Arabidopsis thaliana: one gene and its partners. The protein of the gene in region 3 purifies or fractionates together with the protein of the main gene of each other region. This does not show direct contact. Each region holds a gene or a part of one and is shown on either strand. Other genes may lie near its edges.

Evidence for each region.
Region 1: the proteins of CLPB3 (region 3) and AT1G17960 fractionate together in Arabidopsis thaliana (co-fractionation; one large-scale study listed by BioGRID). This does not show direct contact.
Region 2: the proteins of CLPB3 (region 3) and AT1G18130 fractionate together in Arabidopsis thaliana (co-fractionation; one large-scale study listed by BioGRID). This does not show direct contact.
Region 4: the proteins of CLPB3 (region 3) and AT5G26830 fractionate together in Arabidopsis thaliana (co-fractionation; one large-scale study listed by BioGRID). This does not show direct contact.

The regions. Positions count from the first base shown.
Region 1 is NC_003070.9:6,180,276-6,185,657, reverse strand, and holds AT1G17960 (Threonyl-tRNA synthetase), read left to right. Parts: upstream 1-1,851; 5' UTR 1,852-1,920; coding exon 1,921-2,051; intron 2,052-2,162; coding exon 2,163-2,463; intron 2,464-2,612; coding exon 2,613-2,685; intron 2,686-2,741; coding exon 2,742-2,836; intron 2,837-3,079; coding exon 3,080-3,112; intron 3,113-3,202; coding exon 3,203-3,289; intron 3,290-3,384; coding exon 3,385-3,477; intron 3,478-3,558; coding exon 3,559-3,651; intron 3,652-3,743; coding exon 3,744-3,962; intron 3,963-4,060; coding exon 4,061-4,132; intron 4,133-4,360; coding exon 4,361-4,432; intron 4,433-4,535; coding exon 4,536-4,643; 3' UTR 4,644-4,793; downstream 4,794-5,382. Other genes in the region: AT1G17970 (RING/U-box superfamily protein), read right to left, coding at 54-626.
Region 2 is NC_003070.9:6,233,793-6,239,429, reverse strand, and holds AT1G18130 (Class II aaRS and biotin synthetases superfamily protein), read right to left. Parts: upstream 3,536-5,637; coding exon 3,488-3,535; intron 1,338-3,487; coding exon 1,116-1,337; intron 1,021-1,115; coding exon 949-1,020; intron 864-948; coding exon 792-863; intron 715-791; coding exon 631-714; downstream 1-630. Other genes in the region: LAC1 (laccase 1), read left to right, coding at 1-444.
Region 3 is NC_003076.8:5,013,461-5,020,023, forward strand, and holds CLPB3 (casein lytic proteinase B3), read right to left. Parts: upstream 4,888-6,563; 5' UTR 4,796-4,887; coding exon 4,568-4,795; intron 4,463-4,567; coding exon 4,244-4,462; intron 4,164-4,243; coding exon 3,926-4,163; intron 3,842-3,925; coding exon 3,646-3,841; intron 3,566-3,645; coding exon 3,511-3,565; intron 3,423-3,510; coding exon 3,272-3,422; intron 3,191-3,271; coding exon 2,882-3,190; intron 2,798-2,881; coding exon 1,608-2,797; intron 1,260-1,607; coding exon 939-1,259; 3' UTR 752-938; downstream 1-751. Other genes in the region: EDL1 (EID1-like 1), read left to right, coding at 1-472, 565-671; MUB2 (membrane-anchored ubiquitin-fold protein 2), read right to left, coding at 5,487-5,563, 5,684-5,848, 6,513-6,563. UniProt on the Arabidopsis thaliana protein: Molecular chaperone essential for chloroplast development and seedling viability. Mediates internal thylakoid membrane formation and confers thermotolerance to chloroplasts during heat stress.
Region 4 is NC_003076.8:9,435,580-9,442,517, forward strand, and holds AT5G26830 (Threonyl-tRNA synthetase), read left to right. Parts: upstream 1-1,607; 5' UTR 1,608-1,771; coding exon 1,772-1,998; intron 1,999-2,107; coding exon 2,108-2,345; intron 2,346-2,439; coding exon 2,440-2,499; intron 2,500-2,658; coding exon 2,659-2,748; intron 2,749-2,916; coding exon 2,917-2,991; intron 2,992-3,109; coding exon 3,110-3,238; intron 3,239-3,321; coding exon 3,322-3,411; intron 3,412-3,489; coding exon 3,490-3,578; intron 3,579-3,657; coding exon 3,658-3,754; intron 3,755-3,827; coding exon 3,828-3,914; intron 3,915-4,003; coding exon 4,004-4,088; intron 4,089-4,382; coding exon 4,383-4,477; intron 4,478-4,570; coding exon 4,571-4,603; intron 4,604-4,688; coding exon 4,689-4,775; intron 4,776-4,878; coding exon 4,879-4,971; intron 4,972-5,047; coding exon 5,048-5,140; intron 5,141-5,240; coding exon 5,241-5,462; intron 5,463-5,563; coding exon 5,564-5,635; intron 5,636-5,731; coding exon 5,732-5,803; intron 5,804-5,893; and 3 more. Other genes in the region: IREG3 (iron-regulated protein 3), read left to right, coding at 252-363, 461-607, 740-846, 937-1,050, 1,130-1,426; AT5G26840 (uncharacterized protein), read right to left, coding at 6,709-6,876, 6,931-6,938.

The DNA of each region.
Region 1 (5,382 bases), on a different chromosome or scaffold from region 3:
AAGTCAATAACATAATAACACTAAATTCATCATCCAACTTTAGATCAATTTACCAGTGTGTGATTATAATTGTTGTTATCCACATCAATTTTGCGACGAGACGACGGAATATTCCTTCCCCGAGGAGGATCAACCGATCGACCAATTACAGCATCCGTGGAGAAGCCTAATCCAGGTCTGCACCAAACATCAATAACGTCTCTAGCTTCTTCGCTTAAAATCCTAATCGAACCATCTTCGTAGCTTCCTTTATTCTTCTTTTTCTTTTTCTTATGCTTATGCTTCTTCTTCTTCTTATCTTTTCTAATTCTGGCATCCAAATCCGCGGAGTAGCGAATGACGGAGGGAACAGAAACCTCTTGAGCTGCTGCTGCTGCTGCGGCATAGCAACCCATCCCTCGAAACGACGACGTTTGGTACGGTTTCTTCCTCGTGCTTTCGTTGGAGGAGGAAGTCGGGAGGGGAAAGAAGGAAGACATTGCGGAGTTACAGAAGCGATTAGGTTGTGAAATCGGAAGAACGACGTGGCTTAGCGGCGGATCATCGTCGGCGGCGTGGAGATGACGGATTGTTTGGTTTCTAGCTCGTCGGAGTCTGATGTGCTCGCCGATTGTTGTAGAAGACATTCTCAAAGAAAGAAAGTAAAGGAGATAATGGAAATGTGGGAGAGAGAGAGCGAGACACAGTGCGCGGGGAAGGATGAAAGAGAGTGATTTCAAGCTTGATGATGATGATGATACAGTTTTTGTATAATGATTATAGCTTTTCCTATATAATACTATTAAAGATTTTTTAGTTTTTGTTTTTACATGCAACCATTAGTATGAGATTCCAAACAAAATCAGCTCATGCATATCTTTTGTGAATACTACCAAATTAGAAATAATGATTTTATAAGAGATATTGTTTAGGTTAATTTGAGTATTTCTCTGGGTTTTTAACTTTTTTTGGGCAATTTAGTTTAATGATTTTGCTTATTTTTGGTTTTTCTATTCCAGAAAAGTAAATTTTAAAATTTTTAAAATGATGCTTGCTTGTAAAAATAGGAAAGGTGTCAGTCACTACATGACTCTTTTAAGTCGAAACAATCTTGTTAAATAAATAAAAAGAGAGAGAGTGATTAGATATTATTTTGGTAGAGATAAAGAAGAGACACAAAGTCCAGCTGAAACATCCTACGATAAGCTTAAACATCAAAAGACCACTTCTTTGGTTGGTTTTAATATTTGAACAATCCTCGTATACATAAAGTTGGCACTCTTGAGCTTTGAAGACATCCAGCAAAGCCTTGATGGTTGATGCTCATCGCCACGAAGCCTGAACCGTTTTCCTTTCCAATATTACATTATTGTCTACCAGACCCGGTTCAACCAAATCGAACCCGACTACATTTTTGTAACACGAAACCATCCGAGAACGTTGCAAAACTGATTCTAGCTTCATCATTAATAGGCTTTTAAGAGCCCAAAACTACAAATAATAAGCCCACTTCAAACTGATTTTATAGCTTCCACATTAATAGGCCTAATAATGGTCATTTGGATATTATTGAGAATGCAACAAATATAAATGTGAAACATTAAATCAAAGAAAGTCACGCCAAAATAGGTTATATACATATACTTTTAATTTGCATTTTATCAACAAAACTACAATTCAATTGAAAAGAAATTATAAATATTGTAGAAAATTATTTAAATACAAAAGGAAATTATGTAAAGTTAGGTGCATCTGCCACTTGTTGTTATTACCTTATTACAAAAAATGAAAGGAAAAGCTCTAAAGCTTGGCCCGCAAGTCACTTTAGTGTTGTAGCTATAAAAGGGAAGTTGACCTTGGGATAATCTACTCCTCTGCTCTCAACGTCATCTTCTATATTCTATAGTTTCTATTTGTCCTTCGTTCTCTGCTCATCCATCGATGGCGAATAATCATCATCCCAAGGATGAGGCTTATCTCTCATCCGTCATCCCCAAGCGTATCAGGCTCTTCGAGGAAATCCAAGCCGAGCAGCTTGAGCAGCTTCAATCTCGGCCACACGATCCAATCAAGTAAATACGTTTATGATTAATTGTTCATCATTTTCACTAGGGTGCATCAATTTGTTTGCTAAGCTAGGGTTTTGCAATTAGTTGATTTCTGGTTTTTGTTTCACTGCTTAGGATTACTCTTCTCCCCGACGGTATCGAGAAAGAAGGAAGGAGATGGGAGACCTCTCCAATGGACATCGCAGTGCAGATTTCTAAGGGTTTAGCAAAATCTGCTCTGGTTTCTTCGGTTAATCATGTCTTGTGGGACATGAATAGGCCCCTGGAAGGTGATTGTTCCTTAGAGATTTTCGGATTTGACAGCGACCAAGGCCGTAATACTTTCTGGCATTCTAGCGCCCACATTCTAGGCCAGGCTCTCGAGCAGGAGTATGGATGCAAGCTATGTATTGGACCCTGCGAACCCAGAGATGAAGTAAGAGCTTTGTTCTGTGTTTTTTCCCCTTAATTATGTTTCTTTGGCTAAAAGAGTAAAAAAAGGAGGAGTCAATATTGTTTGGTTCTTGGTATTTCATCTGTAATGTTGCAAAGACGGGCTATCTCTGATGGTAATTGTTATTGCAGGGCTTCTATTACGATTCACTTTATTATGGCGAGCTGGGATTAAACGACAATCATTTTCCAAACATCGAAGCAAGTGTTGCATATATATCTTTTGCTGACATCTTTTTTGTTTTGCGGTATGGAATGTAGAATTACCCATTAGAATGGCCGAATTTGGAGTGTTACACCGAAATGAGGACAGTGGAGCACTTGGTGGAATGACCCGTGTCCGACGGTTTGTACAGGTATGTTTGCATCTTTCTGGACTTTTCTTGTGGTAAAATGTTTAAAACTTAAAAATTGATTGCTTTATATAAAGACTAGCGACATTCAAAATGATATCATGATTAGTTAAGCAGCTTATTTGCCATGTTGAAGTGAAGAAGTTACCCCTTTACTTTACTTTACTTAGTAGTTTGTCAATTTGATTTTAACCCTTTTGTGCGCGTGTTGCTTAATTAAATAACATTGTGCATACTTGTTTTCAGGATGATGCACACATATTCTGTAGAGTGGATCAGGTTTGTGATATTTGTTTCTTATGCAGCAACGTTGGAGCTCCTTATCCTCCCAGTTTCTTATTTTATAGAAATATTCTTATCTATTTGCAGGTTGAGGAAGAAGTGAAGGGTGTGTTGGATTTCATTGACTATGTTTACAGAATATTTGGGTTTACCTATGAACTAACGCTTTCAACGGTAGGATATTTTCACATTTCTTCTCTGCCAAACCTAATATACTTTGCATGGTATGGTCACGTATCTCATTGTTTGCATGTTGGTTTCGACTTCAGAGGCCAAAGGATCACATTGGAGATTTGGAAACATGGGCTAAAGCTGAAAATGATCTTGAAAAAGCTCTAGATGATTTTGGAAAGCCATGGGTTGTATGTGTCACTACTTTCTGATGCTTCTACTCAAAACTTTATAATTCATAGAGAGATTCTAAAGTGTGATGTTTTCTGAAGATAAAGGAAGGAGACGGTGCATTTTATGGCCCAAAGATAGACATAACAGTGTCTGATGCCAGGAATAGGAAATTCCAGTGTGCTACTATACAGGTTAGGCTCCCAAACTCTTTTTAGTTTTTTCCTCTGTTTTTTGTTCTTGATCTCTTACAATAAGATTTTGATCCTTATTTGCTTCGTACCAGCTTGATTTTCAACTTCCGGCTTGCTTCAAACTGAAATACCTAAGTGAAAAAAACGAAATGGAGGCACCTGTGATGATACATAGTGCGGTGTTGGGATCTATTGAGCGTATGTTTGCCATATTGTTGGAACATTACAAAGGAATTTGGCCCTTCTGGCTTAGTCCCCGCCAGGCCATAGTTTGCTCTCTTTCAGAGGATTGTAGTTCCTATGCCAAACAGGTTTTCTTACATTCTTTATTTATGAACCCTCACACCTGCAATTCTTGCAGTGCCTAATCTCTAAGCTTTTTGTTTCCTTTGCACGTACATTCAAACAGGTACAAAAACAGATTAATGAAGTCGGGTACTATGTTGATATTGATGAAAGTGACAGAAGCCTCCGTAAAAAGGTAAATTCTTATGATTACAAGCTTTCCAAATGTTTAGGTCTTTGAGCATATTATACAAGTGAGATTATTTAAGGCCATAAATTTTTATCTCGTAAAGGCTAGTTGTCTAAATTTCATTATAAAATAAAGTCGTTTTTTCTTGGTAGATATGAATGTATATATAGAAATTGCAAAGAAAATGCATAGTTATATGTGTTCACGAGTGTGATGATTTTGTTGTGTTTGTAGGTGGCAGATGCTCGGGATGCACCATACAACTACATACTGGTCGTAGGTCAAAAAGAGGTTGCAACTGGACAGGTTGAGTGTCTCACTTTTTTCTCATGATTCATATCTCTTTGACCATCGAGCTTCTCAAACATTGATTGATCTTTTTGTTTTGTTGGGACTGTAACATTTTCAGGTGACAGTTCGGCTCAGAGAGGACCCTGAAGGCCGTAAAGACTTGCCAGAGATGAGCATCGAAAGTTTGCTTGATGAATTCAAGTTCAAGACAGTCAACTTCCTCTGAGATCCGATGTTTATGGTTTAAAATTTCATTTTTCTGTTGATGATGAATGTATTTCTTTTATAATGGTCTTTTTCATTGTACCAAGACACATTTTGGAATAAAATGTACTATTGAAGTATAATCAACCAATTATCAAAATAAAATCTCGACTTTTGGGACAGTGTTATTTTTGGATTAAGACGCAATGTTTTCTTTGAATTCAAGTTTAATTCAAAGCCAACGAAAGATGTTATGATCTCATAATTGATTTTTTAACACCACTAATGAAAATTTTCAGTTGAATAATCATTTTATTTTCACAAACTTGTCTGAGTGTTTTTAAAAGATGCTATAAGTAAAAACAAGTCTTAATCCTATCTGCATTTGCATCTATCGGCACTTTATTGACTCTGTATGCTCGCTCTCTAAAGTCTTATCACTATTTTGATCTTTTATCATATCTATATCTGATAAATTTCAACTATTTTGAACAATTAATCAACTAGTCACCACTGAAAAATATTCAACGATTCGCGTCATTATTTTCATATGAAGTGATTCTAGGAAATATATACACACATCCAATCAGAAATTAATACATTCTTGTTCTAGTGGGTGTCTTAATCTTATCCAAAATTTGATTAATTCAACATCTTTGTACAATGATCAACGTTTCGTTTCATTATCTTCCATAATAAAATATGTATATACAGTTATGCTTATCTTTTTGGGTTGTTCTTTCGTATTGTCTTAAACAATA
Region 2 (5,637 bases), on a different chromosome or scaffold from region 3:
CCGAACAGATTCGATTTCACGGGAGTAGATCCGGTATCGGAAAACATGAACACAGAATTCGGTACGAAGCTTTTCGAAGTCGAATTCGGATCGAGATTAGAGATCGTGTTTCAGGGAACGAGTTTCTTAAACATCGAGAATCATCCTTTACATGTACACGGACACAATTTCTTCGTAGTGGGAAGAGGATTTGGGAATTTTGACCCGGAGAAGGATCCGAAAAGGTACAACTTGGTGGATCCGCCGGAGAGGAATACTTTTGCAGTGCCGACGGGAGGATGGGCGGCGATTAGGATAAATGCGGATAATCCAGGAGTTTGGTTTATTCACTGTCATCTAGAACAACATACTTCGTGGGGTTTAGCAATGGGGTTTATCGTCAAAGATGGACCTCTTCCTTCACAAACTCTGCTTCCTCCTCCTCATGATCTTCCTCAGTGTTAAAAAATGTCTTCTATTATTATTACCTGGTTTTGTTAGGGTTTTGGTTTCGCTAATTAAGAGTGTTTAAATATAAATATAGATTGTCTTTTTTGGTTTTAATTGTCAAAATGGTTTGTGAATTCTTAATAGAAACATATTTTCCAAATATCCACGTTCTTATGATCACTAGACACAAATAAAAGGGTCTCAAAGAAAGTTGGCCGTCTTCAATTTGAATTCATCCGACAGAGTCTCGATGCTCATCATTTCGTCTCTAAGCCAAACAGTCACCTGACAACAAAAACCATGTTTGTGAGAGAGGCTTGATGCACAGACATTTAATGGAATGAGCAAAACTGGATTCTAACCTGTCCCGTTCTAGCCTCTTCATCACCCACGACTAGTATGTAGTTGTAGTGTGCAACCTGAGCTTCTTGCACCTACTCACAACCACAATCATCATTCAAAATGTATACGGGAACATAAACCTCAATGGTTTGTGCTCAGGGACCTTGTAACAGTTACCTTGTCACTGACGTTTCTATCCGTTGTGTCAACATCAACATAGTAGCCAGCTTCGTGAATTTGATCTCTCACCTGTTTGAATATACGCAAACAAAGGAAATTAGGAAGAGAGATATAATAAGACTCTGCAAGTAAACTCGTTAAGAGTACAGTCATGAATGTATAACCTTGTCTGCGTAGGAACGATAATCCTCTGAAACAGAGCAAACTATGGCCTGGCGGGGACTAAGCCAGAAGGGGAATTTTCCTTTGTACTGTTCCAACAATATGGCAAAAAGACGCTCAACAGAGCTCAACACCGCTCTATGTATCAGCACAGATCTCTCTATCATAGTTTCATTCTCAGCTGAATATTCTAGTTTGAAGCGATCACGAAGGTGAAAATCAACCTGATATTAGGCAACAGCAGAAACGACACACTAAATAAACTGCCAAGAGAAATGCAGGGAATAGAAAAAAAAAAAAAAAAAAGAGTTTGGGAGCCAAACCTGTATAGTAGCACACTGGAATATAGGCACTTTCTTTTATGTTTTAAATAAAAACAAATATAGGCATTTTCTATATATTTACTTTTGTTAAGCTTTTCATTCACTATCTTTCTTTAACATCTTTAAATTAATAAAATGTTTTCTTAATGAATTTAGTTTAGTTTATTTAAGAAAAATAAAACGTTAAATTCTAAAACTTTGATTAAAAATAAAAAATTGGGAGATTTGTAAAACTACCATTTATTTACTACCATTTTGTAACAATACCCTATTATGTTGTTCATTTTTAAAAATATCCCTTCCCTTGAACAAAATGATTATATTACCCTCATCTAATAGGAACATGTAATTGGAAACTGAATTTTTTCCGCCAATTTTTTGGCGCCAAAATTTATTTTTCCCGCCGATTTTTGGCGCCAAAATTATTTTTCCCGCCGATTTTTTGGCGCCAAAAATTTTTTTTTCCGCCAAAAAAATATTTCCGCCAAACTTTTTTCCCGCTAAAAAAAAAATTCCCACCAAATTTTTTTTCGTAACAAATATTTTCTCAGCCGAAAAAATGCTTTTAAAAATCCTTGTAAATTTTTTTTGGCTAGAAATAAATTTACAAGGGATTTTAAAAGGGTTTTAAAAGATTTACAAGATATTTTAAAAGGGTTTTAAAAGATTTACAAGGGATTTAAAAAAGGTTTTAAAAGATTTACAATGGATTTTAAAGGATCTTCTTGTAAATTCTTTGAAAATCTTTTAAAAACCCTTGTACATCTTTTAAAACTCATTTAAACCCTTTAAAAATATCTTGTAAATCTTTTAAAATTCCTTATAAATCTTTTAAAACACTTTTAAACCCTTTAAAAAACCTTTGTAAATTTTTTAAAATCCCTTATAAATCTTTTAAAACACTTTAAACCCTTTAAAAATTTTAAAAAAACCTTTGTTAATCTTTTAAAGCCCTTTAAAATTCCTTTTAAATATTTTAAAACCCTTTTAAAATCCCTTGTAAATCTGTTAAAAACCTTTTAAAATCCCTTGTAAATCTGTTAAAAACCTTTTAAAATCCCTTGTAAATCTTTTAAAATCTCTTGTAAATCTTTTAAAACTCCTTTTAAAATCCCTTGTAAATCTTTTAAAACCCTTTTAAAATCCCTTGTAAATCTATTTCCCGCCAAAAAAAAAAATGCGGGAAAGAAATTTTTGAAAAAAAAATTTGGCGGGAATTTTTTTTTCGAAAAAGTTTTGCGGGAAAATTTTGGCGGGAAATTTATTTTAGAATATTTTAGACGAAAAAATATTAATATTTTATTTTGTTAACCTAAAATAATTTTTAAATAGGGGTAAAATGGTCATTAAAAATTTAAAGAGGGTATAAATGAAAATGGATAAAACAAAAGGGTAGAGTTGAAAAGGGGCATTATGAAAAGGGCATTAGAAAGAATTTTTCAACTTTCTAATGTAAAGTGGTTGAACTTTGTTTACATAACAAAAAAAATTGTTTTGATTAATCAAAGAAATGAATTGACTTTATTATCCATTAAGACAACAATGTTTGAAAAACTCGATTACGTGAATTTGATGAATAGTTTTGTAGGCAAAAATCTAAATAGAGCTATATTTAAAAATATAATTTTGTTTTTTTCCCTCTTTTTTACTTACAAAACGCTTATAAAATGTTATAAAAAATGTTCTATAAAGTTTTAGTATAACTTTTATATATTATTATTATTTGTGATTATGCAAACAAATAAAAGACACAATTTGTTTATTTTCATAAGGCATTTTTGCATGACAGACCGGCTCTGCCGTTGAGACGGTAATTTACTATTGCAAGAAACTCGCAAACGCCAAATAAGGGATGTATGTGACTAAGGAACTATTCTTCGACATAAACCGCGAGGTACGCTTACGTAATCCACACAAGCTCGTCAAACTGGTGAAGGTTAGCCCCAATCCTCGTATTTAACATTGCGCTTTGTCAAAAAAAATGCTATTGAAAAGGGCCCAAAAAATTCTGAATGTTTTTTCAAAGATACATCCTATAAATTGAGGTTCACGGCAGAGGATAGGTTTGTTTCATCCTCATCGGGATGATTCTTCGACATTGGTGGAGCAGCAGAGAACGAAGACGATGAGAAATTTGTAAAAAGTTGTGAGACGGACGTCGATAGGTTTTAGTTTCGGACTTTGGAGTTTCAGGGAGGGAGACCTTGTTTTTAATTTTGAAGCGTACTATGGGCCATGGGGGTGTCTTTTTTCCCAACAAATAGGAATTTTTGATATTTTAATATATTAACTTTAAATTATTATGAAACTAACAAGTTATTACTATTTCATAACAACCATTTATAGTTTATTATAATTAAAGCAATAAACGATTAGTATAGAAAATGTAGATTTTTTGCCCCAAAAAGAACATAAAGATATAATTATATCTATACATATTGGGAAATATATCTAAGGTATTTTTTCAACATTTTATAAAATAGTACTCATTTAATTCATTATTAAAATATTTCAACTAAAAAATAATTATTAAAATACCAAATTTTCTAATTAAACCCCTAAAATAAAATGGAACAGAATTGTTGTAAAGAAAGAAAAAAGATTAGACACTATAGAAAAAATAATAATAAAATAAAGGAAGAAAAGACAAGAATGGAAACAATAAAGAAGATTGTCGAACACTTCAACTTATCAAATATGAGCTTAATTAGGTTAACAATCTTGTATATTGCAAACGATATATCTCTACAGAAAAGATGAGCATTGTGCCTTCGAACGATCTTGTATATTTCAAACGATCCAGAAGAAACCTTTAAAATAGCTCTATTCTAACATATTTCGAACTTGCTTTCTTTTGTCAACAAGCATGCATCTTATATTATTGTAAACGACAAATCTTATTATATGAAGTATGGTTTTCAAAGTTACTAACTCATAAGATTATGCCACATGTCAAGTCTATCGATCAGATGTTGACATGTGTAAGAAAATAATTAACTTTTTTCTTCTTAAAGAAATAGAAATACTAAAAAAGAAATCAATTAACTTTTTTCTTCTTAAAGAAATAGAAAACTAAAAAATAAATCATTATTAACATATACTAATTCATATTTCTATATCTAAAAAATCTTACATTTTATTTTTCTTAACCAAAAGGAAAATTAACAAAAAAAAAAATTATATATGTTATTGGTCAAATTTTTAATATATATGGTATTAACAAATGTTTTATTATTATGAATTATGTTTTGTTAATTGTTAATAATTTTTAATATCTTATTATATAAAGTATGGTTTTCAAAGTTACTAACTCATACGATTTTGCCACGTGTCAAATCTATCAATCAGATGTTGACATGTGTAAGAAAATAATTAACTTTTTTCTTCTTAAAGAAATAGAAATACTTAAAAAGAAATCAATTAACTTTTTTCTTCTTAAAGAAATAGAAAACTAAAAAATAAATCATTATTAACATATACTAATTCATATGTCTATATCTAAAAAATATTACATTTTATTTTTCTTAACCAAAAGGAAAATTAACAAAAAAAAAAAATTATATATGTTATTGGTCAAATTTTTAATATATATGGTATTAGCAAATGTTTTATTATTATGAATTATGTTTTGTTAATTGTTAATAATTTTAATATTAACTAAGATATAGATTTGATCTCATATATATATATATATATATATTATTTTGACATGAAATCATTATCAAGTAAGATGAAGTGTGTAGAATTAAAATCGAGTTTTTTATGAAATAGATAGTTAAATTGTATTACAAAATTGAATGTATAAGATAAAAATTTATTTTTTCTTCTAAATACTAAATTATAATATAAAAAAGTGTGTAGGTTACTATTTAGACTTCAAATATCATCAATAAGACTGAATGGGTATAACAAAATAAAATGCATAAGACTACTATTTTACTATTCAAAATTATAAGAACAATGTATCGACTATTATTTTACTATTCAAAATTTAAATATTATCGATAAAAATTACATTTACATCTTACACCCGCCTATTTAGGCGGGTCTTATCTAGTTATTTATAAATAAAAGACAAGAGAACAAGAAGAGAAAACATTATAATTAGTATAGTCGTACGTCTTTACCCATCAGTTGTGATGGTGGAGCCGATTGGTTGCCAATACTCACGCATAGGCTCATTAATAGGATAGACAATAAG
Region 3 (6,563 bases):
CAAGGTGGTCTTTTCAATAGCTCTGTTCAAATCCCAGGCCACTTTGTTTATAGAACCCGGTTCTCAAGAACATTAGGAAGAAGCCTCCTTCCGCCTCAGTGTAGAACTGATGTACTCTATGTTTGTGATCCATGCGAGCATCTTGACCAAGGAGAAGAAGGCGACGTGGGTTTGTTCCGTGGGATTTTCAAGTCATTCCCAACATCGAAAGTTCGGAAAGTGATCATTAACAAGGCGGTTCCTTTTCATCCATCCGAGGTTTGCCCGTATTGTAAAGCTAAGCTATGGAGCATGCTACAAGCTAAGATAATACCTCAGAGTGCCTGCATTCGTTTGGAAGCTTATGAAGACTGCATTGAGTATTTTGTTTGCCTTAATGGACATTTGCTGGGTATCTGCACTCTCGCGCCTTTGTCTGATTCAGAGGATGCAATTCCAAGCGAAGATAACAATCACACAGAGAAGAAACAAGGTCTTTTATCTTTCCTGTAAATTACAAATCAGCTTTTTTTGTCTGACAACAGCAAAGTTCTAACTTGTTTTTTCTGTTGTTTTTTTTTGCAGACAATGGCTTTCCTAGAGAGAACGTATTGAAAAGGAGAAATTCTTTGTTGGGTGGAAGTGAAAATGGACCTCCGCCGCAAAAACGACTGACCAATCCTAATCAGTGAAACATCTGTAAATTTGTGTACTACTGCTAAATTTATTGTATCTGCAGAGATTCTTCAACATTCATATACAGTCAAATTATGATCAACAATTTTCATAACCTCTGGACCTTTGAGACATCAGTACAATGACTCATAAGCTTATGATTTATATAAACTCTCACATTGAGATAAATATTATCAGTCTTTTGTGACAAGTAACTCACTAGAAGTTCTGTACTGAAAAGTCTGAATCTTCTTGGGCTCCAAAAGGTTGCATTTTCAACTACTCTATTTTGAGAAAGCTGCTTCTTCTTGTTCAGCATCTGCTGTTTCTGACTCAATCTTCTTGAATGTGAGCTTTTGCTGAGGTAACTGGCCATTGGAGAACGCTGTGACCTCGGTATCGATCAAAATGCCATCTTCCTCCTTGAAATCTCCTCTCAAGATACCCTTAGCAAGCTCATTCTCAATGTTTTGCTGTATCACACGCTTAACAGGTCTAGCTCCATAGTTTGGATCATACCCTAGGCTTCCAAGAAGATCGACTGCTGCATCCGTGATGTTTATCTTCATTTTCCTGTCTGCAATTCGCTTCTGCACACGTGCCAGCTGTAGAAAGAAAGATTCAATCAGGGTTTTGAATAACAGTTCTTTGTATTGCCATGGAAAAAAACTTCAACTCTGATCAAATCCTTTTTTAAAACAGTCTTATCTTCCTTAATTTTGTGAAGAGATGGCCAAGAAGTAATCTTTCGAATGCTATTAGAATCAAAAGTATGTTATACGTTCAATGGAAAAGTAGATTGTATTAGATGTTAAACTATTCACTAACGAGCATTTTAAAGCAAAATCCAATCTAACTATCCAATTGCCTCCAGAAGCTAACTCTTTTCGATATCAGACTTTTAATGTCATCAGCTTAATCAATTTTGCAATTTTCAAATGAAAGAAACATACCTGTAACCGGACAATGCGGTTGATCTGCTCGCGGTCAAGAGGTTTGAAAACTATATACTCATCAACCCTATTCATGAATTCAGGACGAAAGATTGACCTTGCAGCATTCATCACTCTCTCTTTAATCGTTTCATAAGAGAGCTCATTAGCATCATCATCTGTGTTGTTCAGAATAAACTGCGAACCAACATTTGAGGTCATAATAATGACGGTATTGGTGAAACTCACTGTACGTCCTTGAGAATCTGTGACTCGCCCATCGTCCAAGATTTGGAGAAACACATTGAAGACATCTCCATGAGCTTTCTCAATCTCATCAAATAGAATGACCGAATAAGGCCTTCTTCTAACCGTTTCTGTTAACTGTCCTCCTTCTTCGTAACCAACATATCCAGGTGGAGCTCCAATGAGCCTAGACACCGCATGCTTCTCCATGTATTCACTCATGTCAATTCTCACTAAAGCTTCTTCAGTGTTGAACATATAAGAAGCAAGTGCTTTGGCTAGCTCTGTTTTACCAACACCAGTTGGTCCCATAAACATGAAACTAGCTATAGGACGGCCTGGATCCGAAAGACCAGCTCTTGATCGTTGGATTGCTTCAGCTACCGCAGTCACTGCTGGGTTTTGACCGACTACTCTTTTATGCAATTCTTCTTCCAAATGTAGAAGCTTATCTCGTTCAGACTGTTGAAGTTTTGATACCGGGATTCCAGTCCATTTACTCACAATCTCGGCGATATCGCTACCCAAAACCTCTTCTCTGAACATAGATTTCCCAGAGCTTAAGTACTCGTTCAGCTCTTTCTCTGCTTCATTAAGCTGTCGCTGCAATGAGTTTAAGCTTCCGTATTTGAGCTCAGCTGCACGGTTGAGATCGTATTCACGTTCCGCCTGCTGGATCTCGAGGTTTACTCGATCAATCTCCTCTTTAATCGACTGAAGACGGGACATAACAGACCTCTCGTGCTCCCACTGTTCAGTTAACTCAGCTTGTTTCTCCTTTAATAGCACTAACTCAGTTTCAATTCGATTCAATCTCTCTCTAGAAGCTTTGTCTGTATCATTGGTAAGTGAAAGCCTCTCCATTTCAAGCTTTATTACCGAACGGTCAAGCTCGTCAAGAGCTGTAGGTTTCGAAGTGATTTCCATTTTCAATTTGGCTGCCGCTTCATCGACCAAGTCAATTGCTAGAACACCAATTACCAAATCAGTTAGTAACACTGTCTATTAATGAAGATAATATAATAAAATGGGAATAGCAAAGTATAAACCTTTATCGGGTAGAAACCGGCCACTGATGTAACGGTCTGAGAGGATAGCAGCTTCCACTAGAGCACTATCTGAGATGCGAACTCCATGATGTAGTTCATACCTTTCCCGCAAACCACGGAGAATAGAAATCGTGTCTTCAACCGTAGGTTGATCAACATAAACCTGTTGAAACCTACGCTCCAAGGCTGGATCTTTCTCTATGTATTTCCTATATTCATCAAGCGTGGTTGCACCGATACAACGTAACTCGCCTCGGCCCAGCATCGGTTTCAGCAGATTACCAGCATCCATGGCCCCATTAGTCGCACCTGAAAGCAAAAGAATCAATTACAAATCATTGCAAGAAAATGTATAAACCGTTTCCAAACAATCAAAGGAAATTTGCATACCTGCACCAACAACTGTATGGATCTCATCGATGAACAAAATGATTTGGCCTTCTGAGTCTGTGACTTCCTTAAGCACAGCTTTTAGTCTGTCTTCGAATTCTCCCCGATACTTTGCTCCAGCAATGAGAGCACCCATATCAAGAGATATCAACTGAAAAGAAACCAAAGAACGGTTAAATCAGTGGTTATCCAAATTGTTAAAAACAGAAAAAGAAACAGTTTGATAAGTATTTGAATACCTTTCTGTTCATCAATGCTTGAGGTACATCTCCTTGCACAATCCTCTGAGCAAGTCTGATTCAAAAGTGGAGATGCAATATCTTAGCATTACATACACATATGTGCAACTTCTGAATCTTTTGATGATAACTTACCCTTCTGAAATTGCAGTTTTACCAACACCTGGTTCACCGATCAACACAGGGTTGTTCTTTGTTCTCCTTGAGAGAATCTGAATGCATCTTCGGATCTCGTCATCTCTACCTATCACAGGATCTAGTTTTCCCTCTCTTGCCATTGCTGTCAAGTCTTTTCCATACTTCTCCAACGCCTCATACTTGCCTTCCGGATCTGTCAAACATGATCATTAACTCTCTTATCCACTAAATTATGCAATCAAATTATAAACTATCAACCTCAAATGTGGTTACTAACCTTGGTCAATGACTGATTGTTTCCCTCTAATGGATTCAATTGCAGATTTCAAGCTCCTCTCTGATATCTGAAAATCCTTAAACAACTGTTTCCCAAACCGCTTATCATCAGCAAAAGCAAGAACCAAATGCTCCACTGACACATAAGAGTCCTTTAAATCTTTCTTAAACTGTCTTGCTCTCTGGAACAGAGCTTCCAAATCACGCCCCAACATCGAACCAGCAGCATCTCCATACACCTGAAATCACAAACTTAATTTTCATTAGCCTCACAAACAAAGAAACAACAAATATCAAACCCTTAAAGACATTACATTACCTTTGGTTGGCGTTGAATGAACTTCTCTGTTGCTTCTAGAACCTTTGTGTTATCCACACCGATCTTAGAGAAAATCCTACGAGCTAAACCATTCTTCTGCTCCAAAAGAGCTTTCATTAGATGCTCTGTCTCCACAATCTGTTGCTTATTCTCTTTTGCAACATCTGGTGACGAAACTATCGATTGCCACGCCATTTCTGTGAATTCTTGCTGTGTAAGCTATACAAACATCAAACCCAAATTAGCAATCCAGTACAGTAAAATCCTTCCAGTGTCAATTCCAGATTTGTGATTACTTAAAAATCCTAAAGTTTCAGACTTTACCCTTCCATTAGAAGAAGAAGCTTCACATCGGACAACGAACGGCCGATGATCAAGCCGCCGTGTGAGCCTCGCGCTCTGCTTTAATTTGAGAGATTTGAAGGAACTAGGCTTCGCCGGAAAAGCCGCAGAAGGTTGAAGATGAGAAAACGAATAAATCCTTCGAGTCTCCGTTCCTACACTGACTACACCACTAAACGCCGCCGTAGCAGTCGTCGTAGCCGTCGCCATTAGCTCGGAAATTTAAGAACAGCAAGCAATTGAAAAAGGAAGATCAAATACAACAGGTAGTTTAGCACAAATCCACCAAAACGGCGAGATGTTTACTTAAGAAATCAGCAAAGAGAAACGCTTTTGCTTTCTCGTGTAGTTTTAGCGAGAACCAAGAGAAAAGGTGAAGTAGAAAACTAATAAAGAAGAAGAAGAAGTTGCTAAACGACGCCGGAGTCTTCGTGAACCATCGGGATGTACTTACTACTGAGACCTTCTTCTGACACGTGTTCACTCTCAGAAAACTTAGGATTTTTCGAAGTAGAATTAATATGAACCGTCCAAAAATATAGCAGAAAATAATAATTAATATATAGTTTCCCGAATTTTGGGCCGTTGATAACGAGATTGGCCCACTACGACTGTTAACAGAAACCAAACATTGTTAACCACGGAAATTATGTCAAGTTATATTTCGTGATGATTCACTTTATTCCGTGCAAATTTGTTTGTTACCTAATAATTTCCACGGTGTTGCGAATCCGAAATACAATAGAAACCAAACCTCAAGCGATCAAAAAGCCAATCATGTCATGTCATGTCAGAAAAAAGAATTACAAGGAACAAGAGCAAAAGGTATTGAAGAAGGCTCAAGAACAGAATGTGAATCTCCCAAGCTTTTTTAACTCTCTCTACTTGTCTTGCACAATTGTTAACAACGAGCTCCAAAACATAAACAGACACATTTGTTCTGTTTCAGATCACCTTTAGGCTTCTTCTTCTTCTTTTCTGTTTTAAACCATTAGCAAAGCAAATGATCTTCAGATTCTCATACAAATGCATAACCTTAACAGATGAGGTTTTCAAACAGTATATACTATGAACAATGCTTAAGAATCTAAAGATTACCTTTTTCAGTAACTTGATGTTGAATTATAACATGCATTGTGGTGACAGCACCTGAGAAATTGCCGACGGGACTCCTGCAATCTCCAACCGTTTTGTTGTTCTCCAATATTCTACCCGCGCTTATCAGTTTAACATCTTTCACTGTCTTTGGCCCGTTCTCCTTATCTGCTCACATTCATACAAACAAGCAAAACCATAAAGGGTTAATCAATTTCATATCTTTCAGTGTCTTTGCCACATTCTCCTTAGCTGCTCAAAATTATACAAACAAGCAAAACCATAACACCAATGACTCACAATCAGGTTTTGATATTATCACAGATATAGGCGAAAAACCAATGCAGGTCCTCATGGAGAAGCGAGAAGGCGTTCTTGTTAAGTCCAGTGCAGTGCAGGACTAATGTAACTAGCCTAGGGGTGATGCAGGGAAGTGTAGCTTTGCCAGCTCAGTAATAGACCTCATCGGTTAGTTGAGAGCTGAAGGTTTAAGAAGCTGATTGGTCTAGATAATTTGGGGGCATTGGGGAGAAAGAAGAGTTGTACAGAAATTACTCTCTCGTTTGCTCTAATTCTGTTTCAGTCTCTTCTTACGTTTGGTCATTGATTTATCTTTGTAACCAGTTTCTCAAGGATCAATAAAGAGGGCAATGAGTTTCTGAACCTAACAAAAGGCTAAATATGAAAGTTTCTTTACAATGCAATTCTAAAGTCTAAACCATTCTAGTCATGGAGAAATCGCCAGACCGATAAAGCTTAACGCGGCTTTATCTCATTGCATAAATGAATATCATCAATACATGTAAAGCAGAGTAAGAGCATAGACACTGACCTCTTGGCCACTGAGCAACAACGGTTTCTTTCAATGTAGCAACGGTAGTAG
Region 4 (6,938 bases), 4.4 Mb from region 3:
TATGTTTCAAGTTTCGAATTCTTTTTTCTTCAATTAAAAAGGCAGTCTTTCTCGTTTAGGTTTTGGATAATTGGAGCTTAGCCTAGATGGAGTATTATTAGTTCTTTTAACTAGATAAATAAGCTGTCATCAACATTGGAGTGATACTGTTCTGCTTCAGATCCTAGAAGCAATTCCACTTGCGCTTTACCAATTTATATGGGACTTCTTACCATCTTGCACTTCTAATAGAAGAAATCTGTTTTCTTCAGACAGCTCTTATATGGCTGACCAACAAGTTCTCCTCTGGAGTTCTGGACCGTCCTAAATGCTCCTTGAACAGCTGTTCTGCTGAAGGATCTCGTACTAATACCGACAGTATTTGTAAGGAAACCTTTTACTTTATACTACTTGGATACGCATAATTTATGATTTGAGCATGTAGTAGACATCACAAAATACCATTTGCTTTGTTCATCAGTTGATATTGGCATGGAAACTATCAAGCTCGGATGGAAAGAATATATTCAACAGCCAGTTCTTCCTGCTAGCCTCGCATATGTCCTTCTCTACTTTAACATCGTCCTCACCCCAGGCAGCTTGATGACTGCATTTCTAACACAACGATGTATGCTACTTCGACTCGGTCCCTTACTTTTCTTTAGTGCTTGGATGAAAATCGTAATTAATCTTGCGAGAGTCTTTGTGCTATTACCTATTACTCTTTCAAATTAGTCACCAATCTGTCTTTTTTCAACAGGTGTGAATCCATCAGTTATTGGTGGTTTCAGTGGATTATGCGCTGTTATGGGCGTCGCCGCAACCTTCTTATCAGCAAACTTGGTCAAACGAGTTGGCATTTTAAAGGTGAAATGTTTTCCCGCCATTTGTTATCTTGAGCTTGTATTGCGTTCAAGCTGATTAATGTTATTGCGTTTGCGTTTTAAAACGATGCAGGCGGGTGCAGTAGGATTGTTTTTCCAAGCTTCACTCCTTGCCGTTGCTGTTGCTGTGTATTGTAGCTCTTCTCTATCCCATAAAAGCCCACTCTTCTTCTTCTTGTCCATGATCGTAAGTTGTTTCTTCACTCTCTCTCTCGACCAGTAATATGCGGTTTTGGTGTTGACTAAAAGGTAACAAACAAATGCAGGTATTATCAAGGCTAGGTCACATGTCTTACGGCGTTGTGGGAGCTCAAATACTTCAAACCGGCATTCCATCATCCAAGGCTAATCTCATCGGCGCAACGGAGATCTCAGTGGCAAGTCTAGCTGAATCGCTTATGCTCGGAGTAGCCATAGCGGCGAATGACGCTTCCCATTTCGGGTTTCTCGCGGTTCTGTCTCTTTTATCAGTTGTTGCGGCCTCATTGATATTCTGCAGATTGCTGAGAAATCCCACTGATGAACAAAGACGACTCTTCTCCTTCGACCCTCTCTCAAATTGATTTGGAGCTTTTACATTGAAATATTTGTATAGTAGTTTCACTTTCAGTGTATAAATTCTTTATATAAAGTAAAGAAAAAAATTGACTTTGGTGTGAAAAATTCAAGAAGTATTCCACTTCCACCATTACTACTCTAAACAAAAAGTACTAAACTGGCTAAACCTTAGTTATTTTTCTAAACCGAGAATTAACGAGATAATTTAACAATCGATTTCAAAAACCAGCAAACCGAAATCACCCAATTTTTGGTCGGTTTGGTTCGATTTTGTTTTCTTTCACCCCTGACGAAGAAAAAAAAAACCCTAGTCACACTCAGATAACATAAACCTTTGACAACAAATTTTGATGCTCCTTCGTCTTACGGCTCGCTCTATTCGTCGTTTCACAACTTCTTCTTCGTCTCTACCATTGCTCTCATCGTCTTCGTTTTGTACTGTTCCAACAATGGCAGCTAATCATCCTAAGGATGAAGCGTATCTCTCCGCCGTCATCCCCAAACGTATCAAGCTTTTCGAGCAGATCCAAGCGAATCAACTCGAGAATCTTAAGTCTCTTCCACACGATCCGATCAAGTAAATACGATGCCGATGTTCTTATGTATCAGTGTGATTTGTAGTTTATAAGGTTTTACTTTGTTTCCTTGAAGATTGACTTCGATTTTCTGGTGTTGTGTGTGTTTAGGGTTACGTTACCAGATGGAAATGTGAAAGAAGGAAAGAAGTGGGAGACAACTCCGATGGATATCGCTGCTCAGATTTCTAAGGGTTTGGCTAATTCTGCGTTGATTTCGGCTGTTGATGATGTTCTTTGGGATATGAATAGGCCATTGGAAGGTGATTGTAAGCTTGAGCTTTTCAAATTTGATAGCGATAAAGGTCGTGATACTCTTTGGCATTCTAGTGCGCACATTCTTGGTCAGGTAAAGGAGTTTTGATCTTATCTGATTTGTGAAAGTTTTGGTTGTGGTGAACGAACGAGTTGTTTACTGTGGTTGTGGGTTGATCTTGGTGCAGGCTCTCGAGCAGGAGTATGGGTGTCAGCTGTGCATTGGACCATGCACAACGAGAGGAGAGGTAAGAGGAGCTTGTTTGTGCTAATTGTTACTTGTTTGTATATCATGTTCCATCATTTGTGAAGTTTGGTTTCTCTGTTTGGGTGTTTCTTGGTATTTTAATGAAGTGTTGTGTGTAAATAAGCTATCGCTGATGTTAGTAATGGATTTGTTATTGCAGGGTTTCTACTATGATGGATTTTATGGTGAATTGGGCCTGAGTGACAACCACTTTCCTAGCATCGAAGCAGGTGCTGCAAAAGCTGCTAAGGTGTTGTTTCTTCTTTTTGATTCGATTACTTTTAAGGTTTCTTACAATGTATGTTATAAAATATTTGCTTATTTTGTCAAACCTTTTTAGTGAAAAATGATTGATATATGTCTCCCAACTCTTAGCCATAGTTTCTATTGGTTTGATTCGCTTCTATTTGCATCTCAGGAAGCACAACCATTTGAAAGGATTGAAGTGACGAAGGATCAGGCACTCGAGATGTTTTCTGAGAATAATTTTAAGGTGGGTTAAGCTGTGTATAAATATCATTGGATTGTGTTATGCTCACCTAACCTTACATTCATTTCTGTCCTCTATGAAGTTGTTGTTTGGACTCATTATTCTGCTGTTAATCATGTAGGTTGAACTCATCAATGGTTTGCCTGCAGACATGACCATTACTGTCTACAGATGTGGCCCTTTGGTGGATTTGTGTCGTGGACCGCACATACCAAATACTTCCTTTGTGAAAGCGTTCAAGTGTTTGAGGGTGATTTGCTACTGTATCTCTAGGAGCTACATCTCTACAGATTCTAGTTTGTTTTCTTATGCTGACCAATATATTTTTCTCAGGCCTCATCAGCTTACTGGAAGGGTGACAAAGACCGTGAGAGCTTGCAGAGAGTTTATGGGATATCTTATCCTGATCAGAAGCAGCTGAAGGTACTCAAAATATCTTAATTATTTATGGCAGCTACGCTGTGTCATAAGTATGCATAATATCTATCATTTGGTCGACAGAAATATCTCCAATTTCTAGAAGAAGCCAAAAAGTATGACCACAGACTATTGGGCCAAAAGCAGGAACTCTTCTTTAGTCATCAACTCAGGTATTTCATTGCTAATATACTGTGGTTTCCTCTTTGTGTTTCACTTTACTAATATCTATTCTCCATCCTTGAGCTTCAGCCCTGGGAGTTATTTCTTCCTTCCACTCGGCACTCGTGTATATAACAGGTTGATGGACTTCATTAAGAACCAATACTGGCACAGGGGTTACACAGAGGTTTTTCTTTGCTCTAATCTCATATTTAATATATTTGATGCGTGGGGATCGCTAAATAACCTTGCACTTGCAGGTTATTACACCAAATATGTACAACATGGAGTTGTGGCAAACATCCGGACATGCTGACAATTACAAGGATAATATGTTTACGTTTAATGTGAGTCTCCTTGACTATGTTATTTTAGCAAGCAGCTCTCTAAGTTATATTCTACGTATGAATGACTTATCAGAATGTTCCTTATGTAGATTGAGAAGCAAGAGTTCGGGCTCAAACCTATGAATTGTCCTGGTCACTGCTTGATATTCCAGCATAGGGTTCGCTCATATAGAGGTGTGACTCTGTTCCTGTTGTGCTGTTCGATATCATCAAAAACAGATCTATGAATGATATTAGTTGTAGAAATTAAAGTTCACTCCATAACAGACTATCAAAACTCTTTTGTGAAATACTAGGTGCTGATTTTTTCAATGACAGGAGACTTGCTCCAAAGTGTAACTTGTGATTTGTAACCTATCACCGTGGACAATATGACTACTGTTTCTCCTTTATGAATCTTACTAAAGAAATTGTCTATCATGTATCTTGACTGACACCATTGTTTTGCTTATATAATCTGATCTGTAGAGTTACCTATGAGACTGGCCGACTTTGGAGTGTTACACCGCAATGAGGCAAGTGGAGCACTTAGTGGATTGACTCGTGTCCGACGGTTCCAGCAGGTAGATTTTGTATCCTAGTATTACTTAATTATCATTTTACCCTTTCCATGATGCATATTTGTTACTTAATATAATGTTCGCATACTTTTTCAGGATGATGCACACATATTCTGTACAACGGAACAGGTTTGTGATATATGTTTCTTTTCTGGCAATGTCGGAGCTCCCTGTCTCCCAGTTTTTGGTTATAAGTAATGTTATATATTTGCAGGTTAAGGGAGAAGTGCAGGGTGTGTTGGAGTTCATTGACTACGTGTACAAAGTTTTCGGGTTTACCTATGAGCTAAAACTTTCAACGGTACCATATTTGATGATTTCTTCACCAGTGCATCTACCAGATCTTATAGTCTTGACATGACATGTTTCTTTGCCCATTATTTGCATGTTAATTTAAATTTCAGAGGCCAGAGAAGTACCTTGGAGATTTGGAAACATGGGATAAAGCTGAAGCGGATCTCAAAGAAGCTATAGAAGCTTTTGGAAAGCCATTAGTGGTATTGTCACTTGTTGTTGAATACTCGAGTTTATTCACAAAGTCTGCATTCATTCTAATGTAAGCTGTTTTGGCAGTTGAACGAAGGAGATGGTGCATTTTATGGTCCAAAGATAGACATCACAGTTTCTGATGCAATGAATAGGAAATTCCAGTGTGCTACTTTACAGGTTATACTCCCAAATTCTTTTTAGTTTTTCTTGTCTATGCATTTCTCTTGCTGTTATCAGTGCAGGAGTTGATTTTATGTTTCTTGTGGCCTCAAATCAGCTTGATTTTCAACTTCCGATTCGCTTCAACTTGGAATACGCAGCTGAGGATGAAGCGAAAAAGAGTAGACCTGTAATGATACATAGAGCCGTGTTGGGATCTGTGGAACGTATGTTTGCCATATTGTTGGAGCATTACAAAGGAAAATGGCCCTTCTGGATTAGTCCGCGACAGGCCATAGTTTGTCCTATATCAGAGAAATCTCAGCAATATGCAGAAAAGGTTACTTTTGTGGCTGTTGCTGTACTCTTTTACTGAGCACATGTGGTTCTTATCGACTTATTTGCAGTGTCTAATCTCTGGTTTTTCTTTTGACACAACAGGTTCAAAAGCAAATTAAAGATGCTGGGTTCTATGTTGATGCTGACTTAACAGACAGAAAGATAGATAAAAAGGTAAACGATTTCGGTTCATGTTCCAAGTTTTGTTCTGTGGTTGGCTGGTGATTCCTAAGATTAACTTGAGTGATGATGATTGTGGTGTGTTTGTAGGTGCGAGAAGCTCAGCTTGCTCAGTACAACTACATTCTGGTCGTGGGTGAAACAGAAGCTGCTACAGGACAGGTTAGACTGCCGATCCTTATCTTGAGTCTCTCGAGCTTAATTTAATTTTGATTTTAAGACCATTTGTATGTTGCACTTTCACATTTTCAGGTGAGTGTTCGTGTGAGAGACAATGCAGCCCACTCCGTGAAGAGCATTGAGGATTTGCTGGAAGAATTCAAGGCCAAGACTGCCGAATTTGTATGAGATCCGACTCATGAAATTCAAGTTCTGATATGATGTTTTTTTTTTTTTTTTCAAATTAGGGTCGACCCAGATTTAAGTGTTCATCTGTTTCATTAAACCATATTAGGCCTCAACTATATTAAAGTTTCGATTACATTCTGCGAAAACTCTATGTTTGGTCCCCTTTTAGTATCATTTTATGGAAGAAAAAAATCTGGGCCATGATTGTTAGAATGCTGTCCGAGGAGGCCATAATTGAGCACCCTGAGTATTATATTTTGTGTGGAACTTAACTTGTTCACACGCATAGCCTTGAATCCTGACTACGAAGCTCTACGCGATGGAATCAATTTCTTTGTGAAAACTAATATGGCAATTTAGGGGGAAATTCAGGAAAGCCAAAGAAGGTCTTAGTAATGCAGAAGAATTGCTTTGTGATTCTGTTGCCAAAAGTTTGCAACATTTGTCCTTAGAGACAGTGGCAACATCCTTCAGTTATTATATATAGACAATGTGTGAGCTTCGGCATCAATGAGAAACTGTTTCAGGTATCATCTTATCTGTAGAAAAATCAATTTCTATTTTCTTTCAAGAGATCATAGGAGAAAAGATATAAGAAATTTGGATTTATAACCTACAATTTTTTTTATAAATTAACAAACTAACCTATAAAAAAAACCTTCGAATACAACAGATATATAATATATATTATTACAATTTTACCTTTACCACTATCACCACTAACCACCACCACAACCACCGCTGCCGGAACTATTACCACTAACCACCACCACAACTACCGCTGCTGGAACTATCACCACCATCGGATCCACTGCCACCGCTATCAGAGCAGCCGCACTGTTTTGGGTGCTACCGCCATTGTCAGAGTAGCCGCAGTCGCCATGCCACTACCATCACTGGATCCGCCCCTGTTGCCGGACCACCACCATCTTCAGCGCTACCGTTGTTG